4 linked regions of the Kluyveromyces lactis genome follow. The protein of the gene in region 2 binds, or shares a complex with, the protein of the main gene of each other region. Links are inferred from orthologs where the notes say so. Each region holds a gene or a part of one and is shown on either strand. Other genes may lie near its edges.

What was found.
Region 1: the proteins of SRB8 (region 2) and SSN3 are in contact, whole or in part, in a cryo-EM structure (PDB 7KPV), measured with the Saccharomyces cerevisiae proteins. The link is inferred for Kluyveromyces lactis from reciprocal best matches to the Saccharomyces cerevisiae genes SRB8 and SSN3. Residues at the interface, in NP_010004.1 of Saccharomyces cerevisiae: Gly4, Ser5, Gly6, Tyr8, Leu9, Leu10, Thr11, Lys34, Pro35, Trp36, Glu37, His38, Glu42, Asp43, Ile45, Leu46, Ala47, Phe49, Val50, Ala51, Lys52, Gly53, Phe54, Tyr55, His56; in NP_015283.1 of Saccharomyces cerevisiae: Asn216, Trp268, Asp272, Ser275, Tyr276, His278, Gln279, Asn280, Trp281, Phe311, His312, Asn313, Met314, Leu315, Thr317, Ala339, Arg340, His341, Thr343, Pro344, Tyr402, Lys405, Tyr406, Pro407, Pro448, Ile449, Asp453, Phe455, Leu458, Val470.
Region 3: the proteins of SRB8 (region 2) and SSN8 are in contact, whole or in part, in a cryo-EM structure (PDB 7KPV), measured with the Saccharomyces cerevisiae proteins. The link is inferred for Kluyveromyces lactis from reciprocal best matches to the Saccharomyces cerevisiae genes SRB8 and SSN8. Residues at the interface, in NP_010004.1 of Saccharomyces cerevisiae: Asp14, Leu16, His17, Pro18, Tyr19, Val20, Pro21, Ser22, Val29, Tyr30, Pro31, Asp32, Phe33, Lys34, Pro35, Tyr55, His56, Pro58, Met59, Val60, Asn61, Phe62, Glu63, Ser64, Ile65, Ser66, Ala67, Arg68, Ser70, Val71; in NP_014373.3 of Saccharomyces cerevisiae: Ser2, Gly3, Ser4, Phe5, Trp6, Arg11, Tyr79, Met83, Arg87, Arg92, Gln93, Ser183, Leu184, Lys185, Gln186, Ile187, Val190, Pro195, Phe196, Ser202, Leu205, Gln206, Asn207, Trp209, Ser210, Leu211, Asn213, Asp214, Pro225, Pro226.
Region 4: the proteins of SRB8 (region 2) and SSN2 are in contact, whole or in part, in a cryo-EM structure (PDB 7KPV), measured with the Saccharomyces cerevisiae proteins. The link is inferred for Kluyveromyces lactis from reciprocal best matches to the Saccharomyces cerevisiae genes SRB8 and SSN2. Residues at the interface, in NP_010004.1 of Saccharomyces cerevisiae: Leu75, Val76, Ser79, Leu82, Ser83, Phe86, Asp87, Ile90, Lys99, Ser102, Ser104, Thr105, Leu108, Leu140, Lys168, Arg169, Ile171, Lys175, Met223, Tyr227, Leu233, Trp236, Lys237, Leu244, Lys245, Gly248, Asn249, Tyr251, Ser252, Leu253; in NP_010731.3 of Saccharomyces cerevisiae: Ala5, His126, Lys128, Leu129, Ser138, Ser140, Val142, Pro143, Tyr145, Val147, Leu163, Ala165, Ser288, Gly289, Asp290, Phe294, His295, Cys296, Leu297, Asp299, Ala300, Leu301, Ala303, Ile304, Asp306, Phe307, Ile308, Leu310, Lys311, Gln312.

Annotation. Positions count from the first base shown.
Region 1 is NC_006040.1:1,005,550-1,011,202, forward strand, and holds SSN3 (cyclin-dependent serine/threonine protein kinase SSN3), read right to left. Parts: upstream 3,473-5,653; coding exon 1,691-3,472; downstream 1-1,690. Other genes in the region: mRNA-binding ribosome biosynthesis protein NOP4, read left to right, coding at 1-1,587; MRX11 (Mrx11p), read right to left, coding at 3,879-4,481; isoleucine--tRNA ligase ISM1, read right to left, coding at 4,710-5,653. UniProt on the Saccharomyces cerevisiae protein: Component of the SRB8-11 complex. The SRB8-11 complex is a regulatory module of the Mediator complex which is itself involved in regulation of basal and activated RNA polymerase II-dependent transcription.
Region 2 is NC_006042.1:661,932-668,302, reverse strand, and holds the start of SRB8 (Srb8p), read left to right. Parts: upstream 1-2,664; coding exon 2,665-6,371. Other genes in the region: RSM19 (mitochondrial 37S ribosomal protein uS19m), read right to left, coding at 1-173; putative ATP-dependent RNA helicase DBP6, read left to right, coding at 441-2,333.
Region 3 is NC_006041.1:737,305-742,216, reverse strand, and holds SSN8 (cyclin-dependent protein serine/threonine kinase regulator SSN8), read left to right. Parts: upstream 1-3,491; coding exon 3,492-4,406; downstream 4,407-4,912. Other genes in the region: rRNA-binding ribosome biosynthesis protein UTP25, read right to left, coding at 1-151; ICE2 (Ice2p), read left to right, coding at 544-2,004. UniProt on the Saccharomyces cerevisiae protein: Component of the SRB8-11 complex. The SRB8-11 complex is a regulatory module of the Mediator complex which is itself involved in regulation of basal and activated RNA polymerase II-dependent transcription.
Region 4 is NC_006038.1:106,968-113,181, reverse strand, and holds the start of SSN2 (Ssn2p), read left to right. Parts: upstream 1-2,798; coding exon 2,799-6,214. Other genes in the region: KLLA0_B01397g (FAD-binding oxidoreductase), read left to right, coding at 1-411; KLLA0_B01375g (putative hydrolase), read right to left, coding at 551-2,473. UniProt on the Saccharomyces cerevisiae protein: Component of the SRB8-11 complex. The SRB8-11 complex is a regulatory module of the Mediator complex which is itself involved in regulation of basal and activated RNA polymerase II-dependent transcription.

The sequences.
Region 1 (5,653 bases), on a different chromosome or scaffold from region 2:
GGTACCGTTGTTGAAGCTACGATCCCAAGGAAGAGAGACGGTAGATTATGTGGGTTTGCTTTTGTTACAATGAACAGGATCTCTAACTGTAAGGCTGCTATAGAAGGCACTAAGGATTTGAAGATCGATGGCAGGAAAGTGGCTGTTGATTTTGCAATTCAAAAGAACAGATGGGAGGACTATAAGAACGAACATAAGGAACTGGAAGCGTCTGATGAAGATGAGGAAGAAGAAGAAGAAGATGATGATGATGATGAGGATGATGGTTCTGATTCGGGTGAAGAGGACGCTGACAATCAGGACGACAAAGAAAAAGAAGAAAAAAGTGACATCGTCTTGGATTCTGATGAAGAAATCAGCGAAGAGGAGGAAACACCAGAACAGGATACCGTAAAGAAGAACAGAAAGGAAGATTTCTCTATTTTTGTGCGTAATGTTCCATACGATGCCACTCAAGAATCCTTAGAACGTCATTTCGGCGTGTTCGGCCCAGTAAAATACGCTTTGCCAGTGATTGATAAAGAAACTGGTTTGGCGAAGGGTACTGCTTTCGTTGCATTCAGAAGCGAAGATGCTTACAACGACTGTCTAAATAATGCTCCTGCTACAGGAAGTACATCCCTTCTAATAAGTGATGATGTTTCCCCAGAGTATGTTTATGAGGGTCGTGTTCTTGCAATTTCTCCAACTCTTGATAGAGAATCTGCTGGAAGAATGTTTGAGAGAAATGCCGAGAAGAGAAAAGAAGTTCTTGGTAAGGCACCAGGTGAAAAGGACAGACGTAATCTATATTTGTTAAATGAAGGTAGAATTGTTGCAGGTTCAAAGCTTTCACAGTTGTTAACTCCTGCTGATATGGAAGTCAGAGAAAAATCTTACAAGTTAAGAGTCGAACAATTGAAGAAGAATCCAACGTTACATCTTTCGATGACTAGATTGGCTATCAGAAATATTCCAAGAGCAATGACTGAGAAGGGTCTAAAGGCGCTAGCTCGTAAAGCTGTAGTAGAGTTCGCCAAAGAAGTTAACGAAAACAAGAGACACGCATTGAATAAAGAAGAAATCGTCAGATCTACTAAGGAAAAGTACAAGTTCATGTCTGAAGAAGAAATCGAAGCTCAAAAGAAGAAGGACAAGAAACAAGGTATTGTTAGACAATCTAAAATTATCATGGAAATTAAAGGATCTAGCGGTGGTAGAAGTAGAGGGTATGGTTTTGTTGAATTCAGGGATCATAAAGCTGCGCTAATGTGTCTAAGATGGTTAAATGCTCATGAAGTCAGTAGGGACGAAATCTTAGAAGGACTTACGGATGATGAAAAGAAACAGCTTGATGCAGACAGTTTCAAAAAAAGAAGACTGGTGGTCGAATTTGCTATCGAAAACGCTAACGTTGTGAAGAGAAGAAGAGAAAAGGTCAAAGAATCTAGATTGATATCTTTCAAGAGAAAAAGAGATGATGAAGAGAATAAAGAAGAAGAAAAAGTGGCTCAACCAGTAGAAGAGGAAACAAAATCTGGTCTAAGTAATAATATTAAACAGATTATTGGATCTAAACGTAGAAGAAAGAACAAGGGCCGTTCTTGAATGTAAACAATAGTCAAAGGCAAAAATTCAAAGCATTCCGAAGCAATGAAGTTTCTAGGATATAAAATCTGTATATTAAATAACATGCATTTCAATTATAGAATCATTTTCTCTTTTTCCGTGCTGATCCTCCGGTTGCAGTATTGCTTGTGGGGTTGTTTCCATTACCAGACACAGCAGCTGCAGCGGCAGCTGCCGCTGCTGCTGCCAAGATACGTTTGTTTACACCTAATCCGTTCATGTTCCCATTCTTATTATTATTGTTACCATGCATTGGTTGTTTTTGAGAGTGATTAGCTTGATTATTATCATTGCCGACATTCGTAATGTCGTTATCGTTTGTGTGAATGCGCCTTGGTGGGTATTTGTAGTTGAGACCCTCGAACACATTTTCACAGACAGGAGGGTCGCCGTTGGTGAAATAGACATGGTCTAAAGCGTCGATTGCATCGATTCTCTTGATAGGATCATACTGCAATAGACGGTAAAGAATGTCTAAAGCAGTCTTGTCCTTACCGCCAGCGGTCTGATACCATGCTGTTAAATTGTCACGATATTTTGGCATTTTTGCCAACTGAAGATATTCTGGATAACTGTCGATATTCGGCCATATTTTATGATCTGGCGAACCCATGACTTCCAATATTTTTTGAAACTGATTAGCTTGAAACAGAACACTCTTCTTGGACTCCATCTTGGCCTCTTCACCTTTAAAGATTGGCCTTAAACCGATGAGTTCTGCAAAAATACAACCAACAGCCCAAAGATCTATTGCAGGAGTATAATGTCGAGCTCCAAGTATAAGTTCTGGGGCACGATACCAAATTGTTACAATAACCTTATCACCAGTGTATAAAGTCTGTACCATGTTATTGAATTTTCTCGCTAGACCAAGATCACCGATCTTGACGCAGCCATCAACGGTAACCATAATGTTAGCGGGCTTTAAGTCTCTATGAAGAATCCAGTTCTGATGCAAATAAGAAACACCATCAAGAATTTGCCACATTATTGATTTGAGCATCCTTGGCGGTATTAGTCTCTTTTCAGGATGCGAATGAAAATGGATAATTTGTAAAAGATCATGTTCAGCAAACTCTGAGACCATGTAGATGCTCTTCTTCTCTAGGAATATTTCAACTAATTTCGTTAAATGGTTATTATCCAATTCTCTACAAAGTGACATCTCTCTGCATGCACTTTGTGAGATACCTGTGTAATGCTCGACACCTTCTCTTTCCGTTTTGAACTTCTTAATAGCATAGAACTGAATTTGAGAAGGCTTTCTGGAGTTGTTTGTTATACTCGACGAATTTATCCTTACATTTGTTTCTGATCCACTATTAGACCGTATCTGTGTTGAGTTGCTATTATTTGGAGGTGTGAATCGCTTGTGGGAAGGCTTCCTAAAGTCCATGGTTGTAAGGTTGTCGTTAGCCTCCTGTTGTCTAGTGGATCTGTTGATTGAATTTATATCCAAATTTGAATCAGCACTCACAGAATCCGGAGAATCTAGTATTATTACGTTGTCTCTATTCATACCATTCTGATAATCCCTCGCTTTAGCTTTGTAAACTTTACCATACGTACCAGCTGCAATATACCCGATAATCTCGTACTTTTGTAACACCGAGATTCTTGAACTATCCTTTCGTTGACGGTATGGACCAATAGAGAAAACATTATTACTAGCCATCACAATCGGAGGCTTCGATTGGTTTCCAGCTGGTTTATTGTTATTAAGGATCTGTTGAGAATGGCCCGCTAACATTTCCTGATGTGACAGTTGTTGAGGCCAGCGATTAGTACCCTGGCCTTGGCCGTTATTCATTCGATAATACGACATTTGATATGGATTGGAGTTGTTTTGTTGGTTGCCGTACATTACAGCAGTAAATCGCAGTCTATAAAAAGTGATAGAATGCTGTATCCGCCGAGAGCTTGTCTTTATATTCTCAAAGCGTTCAACGTTTAATCATTTTTCTAATGGATCACTTCGCTTTAAATTCTTATAAAAACGTCAATATAAGAACCATTCGTTGTTCTGTGAAGAAAGAGTCATTAGATAATAAAGTAGCCAACTCTGGCCTGATATGTCGTTGTATCATGAATAAATAGTTAGTCGTAGCTGAATTTATTACTATTATCAAGGATTTGAGACACTAACTGTAAACTAATCGTAGTTGTCTTCATAAATATGATCCATGAAGTTTTATAATAATAAGATGAATGCGAGTCTATATATAAATTAGTCTATTTACATCAGTGCCAATGGAAGATCAGGTTTTAGCTCAACGACGAATTAATGCCCTAAGTTTGGTAAAAGGCATTATTACGAAAGTTCCAACATATGGAGCTGCCCATAAACTGAAAAGTATCCGAGCAGGATACAATACTTTAACAATGGCGTATGCAAGAGCCCCAGATACAACTAATCTATCTCTATCCCAGCCATTATCGTAATCTCCAATTAATTTACCTATACTTTCACCACATTTGTTCAACAAATCCTTGAAATATACTGGCATCTCATATTGGTCAGACAGATCTAAGTTATAAAGCAGTCCCCATAGAGCAAACAAAGGAACGATAGCAGTAATTTCGTGAAGGATTAAGAATGATGTCATTGTAGAAACGGCGCCGGCTTCAGAAAGTTTATCGAAATAATGTTTGTAACGAGGATTACCGTTCAATCTTGTCAGGAATTTGGACTTTTTGATCAGCCGATGCAGCCTATCATCAATTTTCGATGGTTCGACCTTGCTCGAGTTATACCGTATCCCATTGATAAATAATTTCGCCGGGCCTCTCTTTTGGATTATCGAGTACCTATTACCGATTACCATTTTGGAACAGCTAGTGCCAAGCCCTGGCAATGATTGCAGTAATTTCATATTTCTGTGTGTTGGAGTATGTGTATGTCTACAACAAGTACAGCGAGCCCTTCGGAGATCAAACAAAATATTATATAGCAGTGATTACGCCACTATGATGTCTAACAGTCGTTGAATTAATTTATGGTGTGATATCTTTATCGTATTGATAAACCTTCGCATGTCTATGTTCATGCCTGTTGTTAAAAAGAATACTATTTACAAGTGATTTATGTGAAGGTCATGTGATCATAATGCATTAATAACTTCCTCGCAACGATTGCACAGAGTGTCCTCACTTGGGGAGTTATGCTTCCAGCATCTAGGACATTTATCAGACGTACTTTCTTCTAGCAGTAACTGGATGTCAACTGATGGTAGTGAGATCGATTCTAGGTCGGATCTATTACCGTGCTCAATATTTAGTTTACCAACTTGTAATAAATCCTCCATTTCTTCCGCTGTAAATGGTAACAATGAAGGATCTGAACAGTATATGGTTGCTTTCACCTGCAATGTTTTTGTAATATCTTCCATCCTATTAAATTTCTCAGTGAAGATATTCAGAATTTTCAACTCATTCGATGCAAAGCTTTCCAGTCGTTCATCATTAGAAGATGGGACGTCTTGCAATGAGTCCCATTGCCTAGTGAATGGAGTTTCGATTTCCGCCACTCCTTCAGAGGAATTTTCATTAATCCATTCCTTAGGGGTATAATTCCAAACTTCTTGAACCATTATTGGGATGATTGGTGACATTATGCTACGGTAAGTGTCAAGAATATGGAACAATGTCGTTTGAATTGACAATCGTTTCTTGTTATTCAAGGAGTCTGAATATAAGGAGTCTTTTGTGACACTGAAATAAAGTGCGGAAAGATCATTGTTCATGTGGTATTGAACCTGAGTTAAGACATTTGAGAAATTGTACTGTTGATAGAGTTTTTTGGTTTCCTGGCTCAATGCCTTCAGATTTAGTAATGTATACTGGTCCACTCTGCGCAGCTCTGAAAAAGGTATTAATCCGTGACTTTGAGTCTCTTGTAAATTACCTAAGATGAATTTAAACGTTAGTCTAAACTTCTTTAAAGCATCTGCAACATGTTTCATTACAGTTGGGCCAGCAACAACATCAGAAGTAAAGTTTGACTGTGCTACTAATAATCTCAAACCGTCAACGCCCAAAGCCGGAA
Region 2 (6,371 bases):
TCCTTACCATTATGCACTTGGAATTTCAGTCCGACAAATTGAGGTAATATGGTGGCAGATCTGGCATTTGTTCTAATGGGCGTACCTTTGGCCAATGCTTCTTTTATTGGTAATGGGACTATATTTGGACCTTTCCATACAGAACGTGATAGTAATCTCAATGACGGGAACATTTTATGACGTTATGAGTGTTATCGTAGACGCGAGATATTTGTCTAACTGCTGGAACCTTTGGCTGACTGATATCATGGTAGTGACTTAACTCTATTATATCTTGTCGTTATTTCAAGTTTTACAGATTGAAATTTTTTATGAATTCCGTTCTGAAATAAAATAATAGACGAATGGCGATGAGATGTAATATGATGCGATGAGCTTCAGGAATTTAGAAGGTCAGTAACAGCATAGCGACAGCATAACGATAGCATCCAGTCAATAACATGTTTGCTGCAAGGTTTGATCCTACTAAGGTGACTGAAAATGTACTAACAGCTGAAGTCACACAAATAAAAGAACCCACTGTGCCCCAAAAGAGGAAAAGAGATGCGGAAACTGATGATGAAGGCTCTGGTGAGGACGATGCTTCCAGCAGTGAGGATGATGCTTCCAGCAGTGAGGATGATTCCGATACAATTAGTGAGCAAGATGAAAACAAGGTTGCATCTGTTGCGCCTACAGAAACTTCTCAGCAATCAGTTGATGCAAAGCACAGTTCCGTATTAAATAGATTTCAACAGACTCTTTCCCTGCAAGGTGCGTTGAGCGCTTCAGACAAGGTCAGTAGTGACAACGATGTACACGATGAGGACGTATCCATGAAAGATGTTCACAGTCTTACCCCAATTCCTCAACCGGCCAAAGTGACCAATGAAGCCTTGAAGCTTCTAGATCCGTCTACATATAAATCCACTGCGTGGGATGCAGCAACCAAAATTCATTACGATAGTAAAATGGTTAAACAATTCGATAGCTACGAAGGTGAATTAGATGCACGTCTGCTTAAAAATATTACCTCCAATTTCTCATCTGAAACGTTCCCTATTCAGACCATTCTATTCGATAAAGTGCTCCCGCTTCTAAACTCATCTTTTAAAGCAAACAGAAAACTTTTCACAAGACGAGTTGGTGATATATTAGTAAACGCATCAACTGGTTCCGGTAAGACCTTAGCATATTCTGTCCCTTTGGTTCAAATTTTGAGATCTAGAACAGTGAATAAAGTTAGGGCAATAATTTTGGTTCCTACTAAAATTTTAATTCATCAAGTCTACGATTGTCTCTCTAAACTAAGTCAAGGGACCAGTCTCAATGTATCAATGTCGAAACTCGAGAACTCCTTGAAAGAAGAACACAACAAATTTTTGTATAACTCTCCAGACATTCTAATCATCACTCCGGGCAGACTGGTCGATCACTTGCAGATGGAATCATTTGACCTAAAAACTTTGAAGTTCTTAGTCCTTGATGAAGCAGACCGACTATTAAATCAGTCATTCCAAAATTGGAACCAAGTGCTTTTCCACCATTTGACAAACGATAAGCAGGATAAACGTCCAGGAAACGTAATCAAAATGGTCTTTTCTGCTACTTTGACTACGAATGCAGAAAAGTTGTACAATTTGTATCTCCACAACCCCAAGATCTTCCTCACAGATTCTGTTAAATTATATTCAATACCTAAGAAATTGCAAGAACTCAATGTCAATATTCCTACTGCTAAGAGTCTGTTCAAGCCACTACTCTTACTAAGAATAATACACGACATCAAGAGCAGTGCTTCGAGAAACGCTAAAATATTAGTGTTTGTGAAGAGTAACGAAGCTTCGATCAGATTAGAAAGCTTATTACATGCCATGTTAGGATCAGGAATAATTGAAGATGAGTATAATATGTTCCTTTCATCAATTCATTCGAACATCTCGAAGGGTAGTAGCAGAAAACTAATACAGGAATTTGCATCCTCAGAACAAAAGAAATCAGTTTTAATTTCAACGGACATAATGGCTAGAGGTATCGATATAAATGAAATTACTCATGTGATAAACTATGATCTACCGATCTCCTCTCAACAATATGTTCATCGTTGTGGTAGAACTGCAAGGGCTAATACTGAGGGTATAGCAATTAACCTTCTAGTTGGTAAGGGTGAACAGAAATTCTGGTCACAACATATTGACACTGACCTCAGTCGTGACATTGATGGTTATCAACCATCTGCTTACCTTGACGAAGAAAAGTTGTCTGAATTATTCTCTATTGAAGACACTTTGAAGGATACGTACAAGGGTTGTATCAAACAACTCCAAACCAGCAAAGAAGCAGACAGTAAATAGCATATTATCACTAAATAAGTAAAAAGATCATAGTAACTGTACCCCATTCTTGGGGCTCGTCTAAGTGATATTTGAGAAGGCACTAATGATCTTATACTTACTATCTATTTTGCCTCTTCTGATGAGTTGATCATGTGACATGTTATTTATTGTTCGAGCAGTGTTTTTCCTCCACTTTAGAACTTTCTTTACCTTAAATTGATATGTGATTGATCGTTCAGAATCACTGAAACACTATAAACCTTCAAAGTACCTTAGGCAGGTTAAACTGTCTTAACTAGTGCTTGTTAACACATATAAGTAGTCAGAGAATAACCGCTAGATACTTCTGATGTCACCGTCAAAATATTTACTAACTCCTCCGGAGGAATTACATCCGCTCACCGACTCCAACCCACAAATCTATCCTGATTTTGATCCGTGGATTCACACCAAAGAGGAGGATAAGATACTTAAAGAGTTCGTGGCAAAAGGCTACTATACTGCTTCTAGGGTAAACTTTGAAACCATTTCTGCTCGTTCAGCTTTACAAGGATCACTTCCCAAAGTTTCCTCATTGTTAGGAGATGAATTATCCAAGATTATTGAGATACGAGAACAAGAAATTAATAGGATAAGTACACTGGACATAGAAGACAGTACAAGGTTCACTAAATGGTCCGGTCAAGATTTTCATTTGCCTAACAGAGTCACGCTTACAGATCAAAAGAGGAATCTGTGGCTTCAGGAATTAAGCTCATCGAACACATCATTGCGGAAATTAACTAAATCTGTTCCTCATGGATTTAGGAAAAGGCACATTTTGGAACAATGCTACACACAATTCGTTCCAATATATCGTGTCATATGGCTAATCAAAAGTTGCTATGCTATTGAATGGAAAGGAATGATCTCAAAAGCCAAAGGAGAAACCACCCATGAAGAGCTTCTTAGTACTTTGTACAAAGACTGGACCGATAATATGGTCCTTATCCTTGAGAAATTGGTTTTTGAAGTCAGTAAATATTACAATGATCCGGGGCAGTTGAAATATTGGAAGCTACGCATCGCTCATTATTTGAAGATTCTAGGTAACTGTTATGAAATGGAACTATTAAACAGATCTACTTTGCATCAATGGCTGGTAGATTTTTTAAGTAAAATAGAGAGCTTCGAATTCTATCCTATGACATTGCATATCCTTTCTATCTTCTGGAGTGGAATTCTTGGGACAACAGAAGAAGATACAGAAATAGAATCATCGTTTTTGATAATAAAGCTTTCAGAAATTCTATTACGAAAGTACCACATCATATCTGAGTCCAAGTGTATGATTAATGACTCGAAGTATATCATAAATGATGTCCAGAGAAATTCAAAACTCAAAGAGTCTGTTTTATTACGGTTGCGGCAGTTTATTTCCCATATTTTCCATACTCAATCCTTAGAAGCGTTCATCATGCCAAAGCAAAATTGGAACATCTATAAGAATTACTTGTATCAAATATTACTTCAGAATGTCTCTGATGAAGAGACCCCAAAGTTAAAAAAGAAATTGAAATTGATATCATATAGGAATGAATCGTTACGGTTGGGATCCCTTGATGTGGAACCTTCTCGAGAAACCTCTCCTTTCAGCACTGAACTTACCTTAGACAATGTTTTCTCAGGAAATATTTTGAATCTCAAGAATGTGAGCCCAGAATTACTCGGTGTATTAGATAGTGGCCTTTCAGGCTCAGAGTGGAGCTTATTTATTGACCAAAAAATTACGAAAATGGAACAGGTCATTGAAATTATTCTATGGGCAATCAATCCTTCACGTAAGCATCGATATGACAGTTGTCATTTAGTTGCGAAAATATTAGTTTTAAAAATCAATTCTCAAGAATCATTCCAAGAATACAGCATTGAGGATGTTATATGGAGTCTTATTTTCCATTTTTCTAAATTATCAAAGTTAGAATTGCAGAAAATCGTATGGCTTCCGAAGTTGCATCAACTTTTGAATGTCTTTATTGGTTATGGAATAATTAAAGTCCCAACATACATCAGACGTTTGATAAGTTCTGGTGTACTCTATTTGCCAGAATCCGAGAATAAAAATTTCCACTGTAAACTCCTTATCAATTTAAAGATATCACCTATTATGAAGTCGCAATATAACATGGTGTTAAAGAATGTTATGGAGTACGCTCCTCACTTTTATGAGAAGTACAATTTTGACAAGTTAGTGTCGATCTTTGAAAGCCTTAAACCTAAACTTCTTAGTGGTGATTTTGAAAGGCTTGAGGAGTATCCAGGAAGCATACGGATTATGTGCTCCGAATGGTATTTATCTCAAATCTGTTTTAATCAAGGGGAACTTCAGAAGGTCAATAATCATAAGATCATCAAAACATTCCAACTTTTTTGTATCAATCTAGGAGAGTTACATCACTTTTTTGGGTGGGCTGAGTATATTGTTTATCATCAATTAATTGATGACCTTGAAAACTTAGAAGTATTCACTGACATTTTGCTTTATTTGGACAAAGCTTTTCTTTTACTTATCAATGATCATATTTTATTTATGAAGACATTATTACACAGTTATATGAGGGATCTACGGATAAAAGACAAAGCAGCTTTTGAATTGATAAATTTTAAGAGTTTTTGGAAGTTTTTCGTTAAGAATTGTGCAAACATGATTGAAATGGACTCGTCGTTGCAGAATCAAATTGCTGAAGTTTTCGAGTTAGAGAGACACCGGAAAGATCACTTTACTAAAATGCCAAACGAAACGGTGTCGTTATACCTGGAAATAACCGGTAATAAGAATACGAAGTTTGAAGAGCAGAACTTTCCTAGTGTGATCCAGCAAAATATTAAAAAGGTTCTTCATAATCCCGAAGATGAATCCAATTGTAGAAAACTCTTGTTACTATGCAAGGCCTCACACGCCTCAGAGTATAATAAGTTTTTGTCAATTTTTGTGAAAAGAGGAGACTTCACTGTTCATGAATTATTAAAACTTATTTCATTAAAATTACTAAGTTTTGAGGTAATTCAGAAGACATCACATTTTGATTTATTATGTGAATTAGTGTCACAAGTAAGCTTTAATTATGGTCTAAATTTCGAAAATGAAAAGAATGCCTTTGTCAAGAGGAATTTCAAACAAATCACTCTTCAACTTTTCAGTCGACCTACATTCAGGGACACTTTAGTGAGAATGCTAGTGGAATATGGTCCAAATTCAAATTTGAGTGAAAAATCTGCTCAAGTTGTCAGCCACATTTTAAGAGAAGAGAAAAACATGTCTATCATTAGAGATATGTTGATATATGGAATGAATATCGAAAATGAAGCAATAGACAACACCATTGATCTATATCGGTATTTGAACTTCACCAATACTTGGTTGTTCCAGATACTCACCGAATTCAATGTAAAAAACTCTAATGCTGAAGATCTATCGGACTTTTTCTCCAGCATCGTCGGCGCAATTGGTTACAACTCATTATTACCAAAAATATTCAGTAATATCTCAGACAAAAAACAAGTGTCGACCCTTTTGACAGTTATTGAAAGACAATTTTTAGCAAGAGTTTTGGAGACAGAAAAATCTGCGTTAGTCTTCTTGCATATAATGATGGATACAGAAATTGTACTAAGCAGGCATCTGGTAAATATGTCAAGCCTGGGGATGGATTCAGAGGTTTTGGAACTGTTCAAAAATACTATTGCTACATTTGCAAAAATGCCTAACGATACATTAAAGAAATACGACGAAAACTTGAACGAGCTATTAAAGATCGTTATCATTCATGAGAAGTTCATATTGAGACATTGTTTTGAATCAATTGAGCTCCGTGATCACTATATGGTTGACAATTTCTATACTTTGTTCCATAACACCGGTAAAGACTTGAAGTTGAAGCTACTACTTTATGATCTCCTAACTTCTCTAAAGTCTTATATTTTAAACGAAACAAAGGATCAGGCTCTGCACTCAATAAAAATGCCAAGCGTTTTGAATCAATTGCCGAAATTCGCGATTTCGTCTTTCTTAGATTC
Region 3 (4,912 bases), on a different chromosome or scaffold from region 2:
ATGGCTCTGCATTATCAGAATCACTTTCATTATCAGGGGTTAAGTCTGCTACCGTTGCTTCGTCATCATATCTTACTCTTTTCTGACCAGCTCTAGTGATCTCTCTCAACTGTTTTCTACCAGATTTTGGACCAGCTCTGATTTTACTCATGTTTGAGGATTCCTTTACCAAATAAATGACACTTTTCTACTACTCCAGCAATAACCAAATACAATTAATATGATGTCAATTTAATATACTGCTCATCTCATGTCATCTCATCGCATCTTATAATCTTAGATGCTCAATTTTTCATCCGTGTTTAATGATCTCATCAGGTCCAGGTACTTGAAAAGAAGTGTCGACCCCTTCCTACCGTAAAGTCATGTCACAGCAGACCTGAAACACCTCAAAGATTACGTCTACCTTGAGAAGCGATTAAACAAGTTCAAAGTAGTGTGCTCGTCATACTGTTTACCTTTTTGGTACGTTCCATTCCTTTTACTACTGCGCCTGTAAACTGACTGTTTTCATAAACTTATATAATACAAACAAAAAAAATAATGTTACATAGAATTACGATGGAAATCTTCAAGCAAACCAGAAGACGAAGGAGTCAAGAAAGAAGGCTTGAGCCATCAACAATAGCCCGTCACTGTGCAAAATTCAACGTTTCCAAGATGCCACTAATAAAGAAGAGTGTGCTTCAAACTCTGCGGATATTTCTCACGACAATGTATCTATTTCTCGTGCTGATTACCATTCCGATAAGTTTCCAAGTTGGTGGGCTGAACTGTGGATTGTCATTTACTGTAACGTTATTTGCTCTGTATTTTGTTTCAACGACTTTCAAGCTAGTATTACTGGACCGCGGATCAGCGTTGTCAACCCTGATTTATTATTTGCAGCATCTTCTCATTCCTTCAATTTTATTCATGTTTTTGTCATACTTTGAAAACATCGACTCTGATACTGTCGATTCCGAGTACTTCAAAGTATTTTGGAATGTGATGGTGAAGCCATGGCAGCTATCATTGATACATTCGACTCCAGTGTTCACTCTACTGGAGGGTGTTTTCACCATTCTCGCCATTCAAGCCATAGGGGAGACAGAGAGATGGCTCAAGATGTCTAGAAGAAGTAATCAATGGGTTATTCTGAGTTTGTTGATCAGTGGGGGAATTATTACGCTATCACTATTTTACTTTTACAGAATATATGTCACTCCAATGTGGGAACTCTCCACACCAAGTGCTTCACTACTTGGGTTCACATTCTCAATTGTTTGTGGTATCGGATTATATGGTATAAACGGATCAGGGTCAGTGATGGAAAGCTCGTTGTTTTTTGCTTATATGGTTCGCAATGTTTACGAAATAAGTCCTAAGATGGCGATGAATGCCATGGACGAAATATTCGATATCGTTAAGGAAACATGGAAAATCCATCAGGCTAATTTGCCCAAGAAGGATAATCTTTTGGAACTCATGACTAAAAATTATCGCGCCATCTGGAGTCAGATAGTAGAACACACGCCTCGGAACCATAAATATATTAAAATGATGGACCAATGTAAATGGATTCTAAATCCTTTGTGGAACTCAGTGAAGAATTTCACTAAAAGCGTACCGATAAGTATCCAAGAAATATTCGTTGTGACATTCAAGATGGCCAAAGAAAGTCTAATACCAGCAGTTGTAATAAATTTAGTGTTCAGACTACTGATATTTTACAGTGCAACACGTATTATACCGACATTGCAGAGAAATACAAAAGAACGTAGAAGTTTCAGAAGAATAATGAATTTTGTGTACTGGTATTCACCATGCATCATTATTGCAATGTACACGCATTTGATTCTACGGTATAGCGGTCAATTGAAAAATGATCTCTGTATATGGGGATGTTTCCCATACGAAACAGAGCCAAAGATCGTGGTTGATTCATGGTCCTTTTGGAATTGGTGCAACATTTATTCAACCATGTTGATTTATGCATTAGAACTTATGGGTAGTAACAAGTAGAAAACCATCTGATGATCAGTTCACGATCAGAAATAAAAAGCCTCTTTTACTCCAGGGCAGAAATAGAAGATAGCTATGTAACATTAGAGGTGAGCAGCTTGAGACAAAGTTAGATATGGATAGGAAGATCACTTTTTGTGCCACGTTATGTAGTTCAGCTGATAGATAGAAATGGTAGGTAGTAGTTCCGTAAATGGAAAGCAAAGAAATACAAGAGATACTTACTCGATGGGAAAACCACACTAACAAGTAGATGATTCTAGTACTACACATGTTTACAACTCATAGCAAATGGTTAGCCGGACTCATACTAGATGGTGCGGTGCTAACAGCGTTCAAGAAAAAATCAAAACAGAGAAGATACATACAGTACTACTCTAGACCGCAGTCAATAACTCTTCTTTATCATCAAGGAAATTTGATCAGTACGTTTGTAAAAAGCAAGTCTCGTCCATGCTATATAAGCTCAGAGCTTGACTCTATGTTGCATTGTTATTTCATCACGTTAAAAATCCTAAAATGAAGAGGGAAAGATGACGGCTGGATCTTTTGAAATTCTTCCTTGTAGCACTTGATATGAGAGGATACTCAACTGAGTATAATCCAAGGCAATAAATGATACAATAATAAATAATCAGGGCAGCTTGGCATATTTGACTATGCGTAAGTATCGAAAAGTTCAAAATAAATTTGAAACGAATCCACTTCAAGCTGTTTGATGATTGAAAAAAGGATGGAGAGTTTCGTGAGCCGAGAAAGTAAGCTCCATTGGGTTACCCAAGCTACCTCCTCCCTAATCACCCCTGTAAACAGAAGTAACAAAAAAAGAGATAAAAACGCTCGGGCAATCGTCATAACTTTCGTTTAAAGTAAAGAAATACTTCAGTACCCAAGACACAGAGGCTTCTAAAACAGCCTCTGGATAGAAACCGTGACAGAAAACCAACACGATTAATGAGTTGATTTAAACATTTGAAAAGTTTTTAAATCTCATTACGTTTCCGCTTACGGACTGGTCGGAGACTTTCTACCCAAAGCTATAGAAATGATATCATTTCAATTGAACAGATAAAATCCGTTCCTTATGTAAGCTTCGATCAGTGACGATTCTTCGACTACAAAACCCTCGACTTACGAAACAAACAACAACAAAAGACAACACTAGAAAACATTTAATTAAAAGTAAGTGTTTGAAGTGCTGATGTTTGGTTCATATAGTTGAATGTTTAACTTTTTTCCAAAAAATTTTCAAAAAGGTTACCCGACTTCTTAACGACCTGAAATTTAGGGCTGCAACGGTCAGCTTATCATAATGTACTTGATGATGAATTGAAGAATAGCGAACGGTAAGGTAGTAAGAACCGAATCGGGTTAGGTACTTTGAACAAAGGATTCCGACAACAAAAGGCAGTACAAATTTCACTGGAGGATAAAAAATACCTTTCCCCCCCTTATTCATTGAACAGCTAGAAGATTATCTTTCCAAAATGAGCGCCTCATACTGGGATTCGAGTCAGAGGCACAAGTGGAAGTATACTAGGGAATCCTTGGCTAAGGAGAAGCAGAAACTCTGGCTGTTGGAATGCCAATTATTCCCACAAGGTTTGAATGTTACGATTCACGATTCGAAGGCGAACAAGCAGGTGACGACAAACATTCCGGTTACACAGCGAGATCTGCATTATGATCGAGACTACAATTTGAGGATATACTGCTATTTCCTTATAATGAAGTTGGGCAGGAGGCTCAATATACGGCAGTGTGCACTTGTTACAGCACATGTTTATTTGAGCCGATTTTTGCTTCGAGCTAGTGTCAGGGAAGTGAACCTGTATCTTTTAATCACCACCTGCATCTATTTGGCTTGCAAAGTGGAAGAATGTCCGCAGCATATAAGAACGCTAGTCAACGAGGCGAGGTCTCTATGGCCAGAGTTTATTCCACCGGATGTGACAAAAGTGACCGAGTTTGAGTTTTATTTAATCGAGGAATTGCAATCATATTTGATTGTACACCATCCGTACCGGTCTCTAGAACAGATCGAGAAGGCATTATCATCCGAAAAGTACAACTATAAACTCTCAGACGATGAGCTTCAGAAAATATGGTCGTTGATTAACGATAGTTATACGACCGATGTCCATTTACTCTATTCACCGCACGTGATCGCCATAAGTTGTCTATTTGCAGTGTCTTGCATCATTCACAAGCCAGAGGACAGTACAAAGCGTGCTAACATCAACATGTTCATCGCTGAAACTCAAGTTAATTTGGAACAAGTGATGTTTATCCTTCAAGAACTCATATCACTATACGACCATTGGGACAAATACAATGAACTGCGGATCAGAGCGCTCCTACACGAGTTATACCTCCGTCAACAAACACCAGCAATTCAGTGATTCTGAAGCCGAAAAGATTTCGTTCAGTTCACACCTGTACATACATAACAAATTACGTAGCATTCAAGATCAACCACGCATCAAGGATATATCGCATAAGAACGAAATGAAATTATATTGGACAACTCACGGAAGAATCACAGAAATGCAGACACTGAGAAATATACACATTGTACGCACAAAAAAAATTTAGTTCGCAATCACAGTCAACTAGAGGACAAGTAGAAGCCTCACTCCAAGAGCTGCATTTGCAACTTCTATTTCTCTTTAACACCAAAAATATCTTTGGCGAAGCGATATCTGCCAAATAATCTAGAGCTATTCATGCGCAGAAAAGAAAAAAAAAAGTGAACGAACGGCAATATGATTTCGAGAGTTAAACATGAAACTCGAAATCAAATCTTAACTAACAATGTTAACGTGTATTTATAAAGAGTAGAAGTAGGAAAAGTGGAAGCACAAGTTCAAAAGAAAGCGAGTCCAAAAGTTTAGTGAAGCAGAAGCAG
Region 4 (6,214 bases), on a different chromosome or scaffold from region 2:
GAAATTGATGAAAACGCAAAGATGTGGATCACAGATTGTGCAGTGCCACTTTCCAATCTTGCAGCTACTCTCGAAGAATTGGATAAAATCACAGCAACTTACCCTCTAACTCATATGACCTTGGGTCATGTTGGTGACGGGAATATCCACTATGATATTTTCTATGAACCGGATCAGTTTGAAATTTGCAAACAGCTGGTAGCTGAAATCAATGCTGTTACTCTTAAAAATGAAGGTACGTGTTCTGGGGAGCATGGTATTGGAACTGGTAAAAGAAAGTTTTTGGAGGATGAATTAGGATCAGATACTGTCGATCTAATGCGGAAAGTAAAGTTAGCTATAGATCCAAAGAGACTGTTGAATCCAGATAAAGTACTCAAGATCGATCCCTTAGATCCTAGTAACGAATGAAACCACCAACCACAAAAAGGAAAAGATACCAGAGGTGTGAAGCCTCGTATCCTCTGAGAACGCGATCTATAGACTACTAATTTATTTTATTTATATACAGTTGAACTTTTAATGATATTATTATTACTATAGTCATCATTCATTCTATCATTGCCTTCGATCCAAAGTGTTCATCGGCAATATGATTGACAACTATCCAACCGAATGAATTAACAAACCTGCGACGAACAATGATGTTATTATGGGAATCAGGCTGTAGCTCAACGATGACCTTTCTCCAGTCCATTGTCTCCTGCCAGTACCTTGCTATTCGTTCTTCTTTCATATGGATCGAGTAATTGGGATATATTATCTTTTTCACAAGCTTCTTATGTTTGTAGTGTTTATCTGGTAATTCTTCCGGGGTATAAACCTTGTCATGAATAATTCTGTCCGTTCTACTGGAGGGATCCACTAGGTACGACATTCCTGGCAGCGGTGCCGATATTGTACTTGCAGCAGCTTGCAATGTATTTGCCTTTTTTGGAGGTTTGAAAGTAGTTGGAGAGTCAGAATTATTGTTCGAATCACTACTGGCAGATTCTACCGAACTGGTAGTTTGAGTCCGCACATACGGTTTATATTTTTCCTTTTTAATGAGTGACTGGGGCAGCAACCATTGGAGAATAGACTTATTGTCCGAAGAGCTCTCTGGAATTTCCCCCAAAGATGACCCTTTCTGTTCTTCAACTCCCTCCTCAGATTGGGCATTGTTTTCGCTCCTCACCTGTTGCACATCACTTAAACCTCTCCAATCAAGATATAGTAAAGCAGCCGTCCTTAGAGGCACTATACCATCAAATGCGACATTAGCATACACGGTTCTACACTTGAATCGTTGGAAAACTTCTAACGCCGGATGTTTAGGTAAAAGCTCTAATATGGGTTTAGATTTGATTCTATCATGTGATCCATCATTATTTACAATACCTTTTGATGGCAGAAAATAGCTGCGCTTCAATGTGAGATCCCTTCCAGTCTGTCCCAAAGCGCCAATGTCCAGCACGATAGATATGTATTTGGGCAAATCTCCAATGACTCCGAGGAATGGGCTCGCCGCCGCCACAAAATTGACGGGTGTCAAGCCTGTGGTCTTGTCAAATATGTCTGGTCGTTCGACAGAGATATAGTGAATGGCCATAGCTTGCACGGGTCCTCCCAAAGAGTGACCTACAAATGAGATTCTTGTTAAGGTGAATTGCTGTTGAAGTTTATCGATGGTATCGATTATATATTCTGCCAACTTGAATCCTAGATGCCGTATACCTTTATGAGACTTCCCGACGTTTCCAGGATACCCTCTTATTACAAGATTGCCATTATTATCATCTGGCAAAAAGTTCGACGCTCGTTCAATGGTGTCTTTTAAGCAAAGCATATCTCCGCCAATAGAAGAGAAGATGCCATGTGTAATAATTACGAGATGAACTGGCTTATCTGGAAATGGCGGAGGTAAATTCCACAACTGTTCAGTGTCAAGTTTGGAAATTTTCAACCCATCAGTCTGCTGAACTTCTATATTCTTGTCTTTCTGGGAATGTTTAGCAGTTTTGTATGTTGTAGCTAGCGTGAAGACGAATGGAAGCCTTACAATGGTAACGACAGTGAACTGGGCAATAAGGTCAATCTTCCAAGCATAACAAGAAGTACCGTCAACTCGAGCATTAGAATTGAGATAAAGTTTCGCTTTGAAATTCTCATCAGGCTTGAGGTCACTCATGAACTCAATTCCATCTCCTATGAATTGCTTTCTCTCGTCATAATTGTTCGGCGTTATTTCAACATAAATTGAGTATGGTCCAGTTATCCATAACGGCCTCAAAAGCGCGCTCTCCTGGTTTTTGAATTCGAGATAGAGAGTATCGTCAGTACACTCAATTCCGTCAGATAGTAGCTTATTTTTATCTACAATTATCTTATAGCGATTGACATCCCCGATACCAAGTGACCCTGTTTCCCTTAAAAGCAGAATACCACTATCTGATGACTCAGTGTCGTTCTCTTCAGTCAGTTTTATTGCCATCTTGGCATACGCCAACCACTGTTAGCAGAAGTACAGGTTATACTGCGTTTCCAATTGAGAGTGCGCCGCTAATCACGGGGGGTGCGTTTAGCTTTATGCTTTGGTACCTGTCATTCATTGTTTTGTATTGGCAATCTTTTTTGTTTTTGTTTTATAATGATCAAGCGATTCATTATTATAAGTAGTGATAACTCGAGATAAAATCGTATAATTTTAAAAGAAGGTAACTAGACAGCATCTCTTAACAAGTACGGATTTTTGAAGTACCGTTGCATCCTAATCAGTCTGACTATCCAGCTTACTTTTCATCAGAGCAACGGAAACCATGAAAAAGGAGGTTGGGGACGCATGTCGATTGGAGGACATCGTTACCAATTTATACAGGTTAGAAACTGTCAAACAAATAAACTATCACCAATATGTACCTAGCAAGGCAGATAATCAATGGTCAATTCAAGCAGAGTTGTTCCTAAGGAGGAAAAACCCCAAAGTACTTGCAGCTCTTTTTTCCAGGGAGTTATGGTGTTTTAGTATTAACGATGATCCATTACCAGAGTTAAACCTTGAGCTGAATAACGAATCGGAGTCACCCCAGCCAGAGCGGAAGGGTCACTTCACCCCAGAATTCTCAAAACCTCACTTGCCTACCCCATATGCCATCTTTATGAAGGCTCTCAGGCGTATGATATATGTCAATTTGACCCTATCCTCCAATGAAACCATCGTGCCCTTTGGAAACTCATGCATATTTCAGGAATCATATACCTTTTCGACCAAAATCTTACACTTTGATCCACATCTATTTGAAAATGGAGATTTGACTGTTGCAATTTGTTCCAAGGATTTGGGTTTATCGAAGTTGAATGCAGAGAGCCTCAAACATGAAGTGGCTGTGTATTTGGCTCCATCTGGGATCAGAGTGTATTTACCATCCACAGATTTAAAGAAATGTTATGTATCACCACCCAAAAACGCTCAAATGTTTCTCAAGACACTATTTGTCTCCCATGGAATAAATTTAATCGATGTCGACGGTTTGAAATGGGTAAAGCTTATTCCAAATGCTAACCATTTGAATGGCTTCACTCCAACAATATCACATTATCTTGACGAACCAAAAGGAAATAATTTCGTTATCTGGCCGGCATGTCTCTGTTTTGTACAAACAGCATCTGACGTTCAAACTCCTCAATATACTGCATTTTCAAGATCCCCGCAGCTTGAGTTAGATGATTGTTTCGATATGATAGATGGATTTATACAGTTAAAACTCACTTCGGCCTACAGAACGCCTGGAACATCTGCAGGGATGGGAACTGTAACCGGACATAACCCATTAAGTACGGGAGGAATATTTACTGATCAGTTTCAAGGGTTTAATAAGCATTCGGCCAATAACAGCAATAACGTATCTTCAACGGGAGAGAATGGTAAGTTTTCTCCGGAATACTCTAATGATCCAAACGTAACACCTCTGCGAGATAATAAAACTAGTAGACAGAATTTCCCCACAGAGAGTTACAGCAGTAATGGTTTCATTACAACTCCAATAATAAATGAGAATATCACTCCAACCGTTGATGATATTATAACAGAAACTCCTTCCGTAAAACCTCAGAACGATCTTTGGAATGAGAAAAAGGATGTAATAAATAGTACATCCAATATCAACTCAAAGGACGCATCAGTAGGTAGTTCTGAGCGTAAAGTAGAACTGGAAACCGCTTTTGAATCTCCCGCTCAGAATATTTCGATAGAGGAACACGAGCATGTAGAATTCGACAAAGATCTTTTTGGTGAAGATAGCGACGAAGATGTCAGTACGCGAAATAAGAACGAAGAACTGGTATCTGTAAAAGAGATTACTGACGAAATGTTTGATCTAGCCGAAGATGACGATGAGGCTGACGGATCAACTAGTAACTCGTTAAAGTTTGATCGTCCCGACACCATCGAGTCTATTGATACTGACGAAAAGAAGACAAGAACAAAGCGTACCTATTTGGACATACCAGTGGATGTCATTACTATAGAAAAGACACCTACATTATACGAAGATCCAGGAGCACCTTTGCCTATTGAAACCCCAAAAGACAGAAAGAAAAGTATATTCGCACCACTCAATTTCAACCCCATCTTTGAAAGTAATGTGGATAACAAGTACAAGAATGGAGGTAAGTTTTCTGTTAACTCGAACACCAATGACGAACCAATACAATTTGGGATAAGTACAAGTAATATATCAAGCTCAGAAGATGATGATAGCGATTTTTCTCCTGCTGATTTCAACAATAATGGACCATCTGCAGGAAAGGGCTTATCATATGATCCAAGAGACAATGATATACCAATGATCGAGTCATCAACATACGAACCTATTGCAAAGGACTCTCTTCCCGAATTGATAAACCCACCATCTTCTTCCAAAGATGATTCTGTGGCATCTTATAATACGATCGGAACTCTAATGGAAAAACCTGTTAAGTCCAACTTAGACGCAATATGGAAGCCCGCCTTAAGTAAATCAGAAAGAGCTGATCTACCAAACCAGACAATTAATGGGGTCATAAACGACTGCAATAACAGCTCAAACTCAAATCCCACAACTTACTTTGAGAATACGCCTTCTCTCGGACCGGATACTCTATATGATAATTCAAAACCAAGAAGTTCATCAGCTAACTTTCTTTCCACGGTTGAAATCGACCCCAAAAGCGAACAAACTATTCAAACCGCAGAGCAAGAACAATCTGAATCATCTAGAATTCTCCCCTACCTTTTGAGACACATGCCTTTGTTCTCGTTGCCTGACGTGTTCCTTTGTCAGAATCCATCTTTGCCGCCCGGAAAAGACTTCGAGGATATTCTAGAGATTTTGACAGATCAGATAGTCTTCAATAATGATATGTTTTCTGATGATAGGGCAACAGAATCTCAGTTTAAAGGGATCAAGGATTGCTCCGTTGGCACCATCAGCGATACCATGAACCAGCTTTTTGGGAATTTTTCAAAGCTTCACGGAAACGAAATAATAGAGGAAGTCTTCTATTTGCCTGAACCATCAGTGTTTGTGAAGAAATCTGAAGATACAATTAAAATAAAAAGCTCATCGTGTTATTTCACGGAATATTTAAATCTGAAACCCAACCGTGGGGTAAAAAATTTCAGGGCCCTAGTGCTAACCACTGAGGCAAAAAATGATTGCATGTCTTTCGTATCACAAATGTCTCAGACATATTCGAATCATGAGTTAGGGTTCTGTGAACTGACTAAGTTGACTAATGACGATAATAAAGGGTTAATATACTTAAAAAATTTTAACCAAGACACCTTACTACTTCTTTCCGCACAGATTGTATCTTTCTGTTCAACAGCACTCTCAAATATTAAGAACATTCCTTTACTCATCTTTCTCCCCATCAACAAACTTTCATTAACAGAATGTATATCAATGATCCTCAAGTTTCATGTAATCAGGAAGGAGTTCAAATCTAAGTTACCAAAGGCAGATATTTTGTTGAGGCTCGTGAATATAGATTTCCTCAAAAATCCACTTACACCTATCACTGCGTACACTTCATTGTGTATGGCAATCTATAATAGTCTACCACCAAAAAGTACTAAGGTAACGTCCCTAACAAATGATTTACCCAAACAAATTGAGTTCCGGACACTGAAGAATGCCTCCTTATCTATCCATTACGATAACTACATCCATTTGGCATACTTGAGAAGTATTGA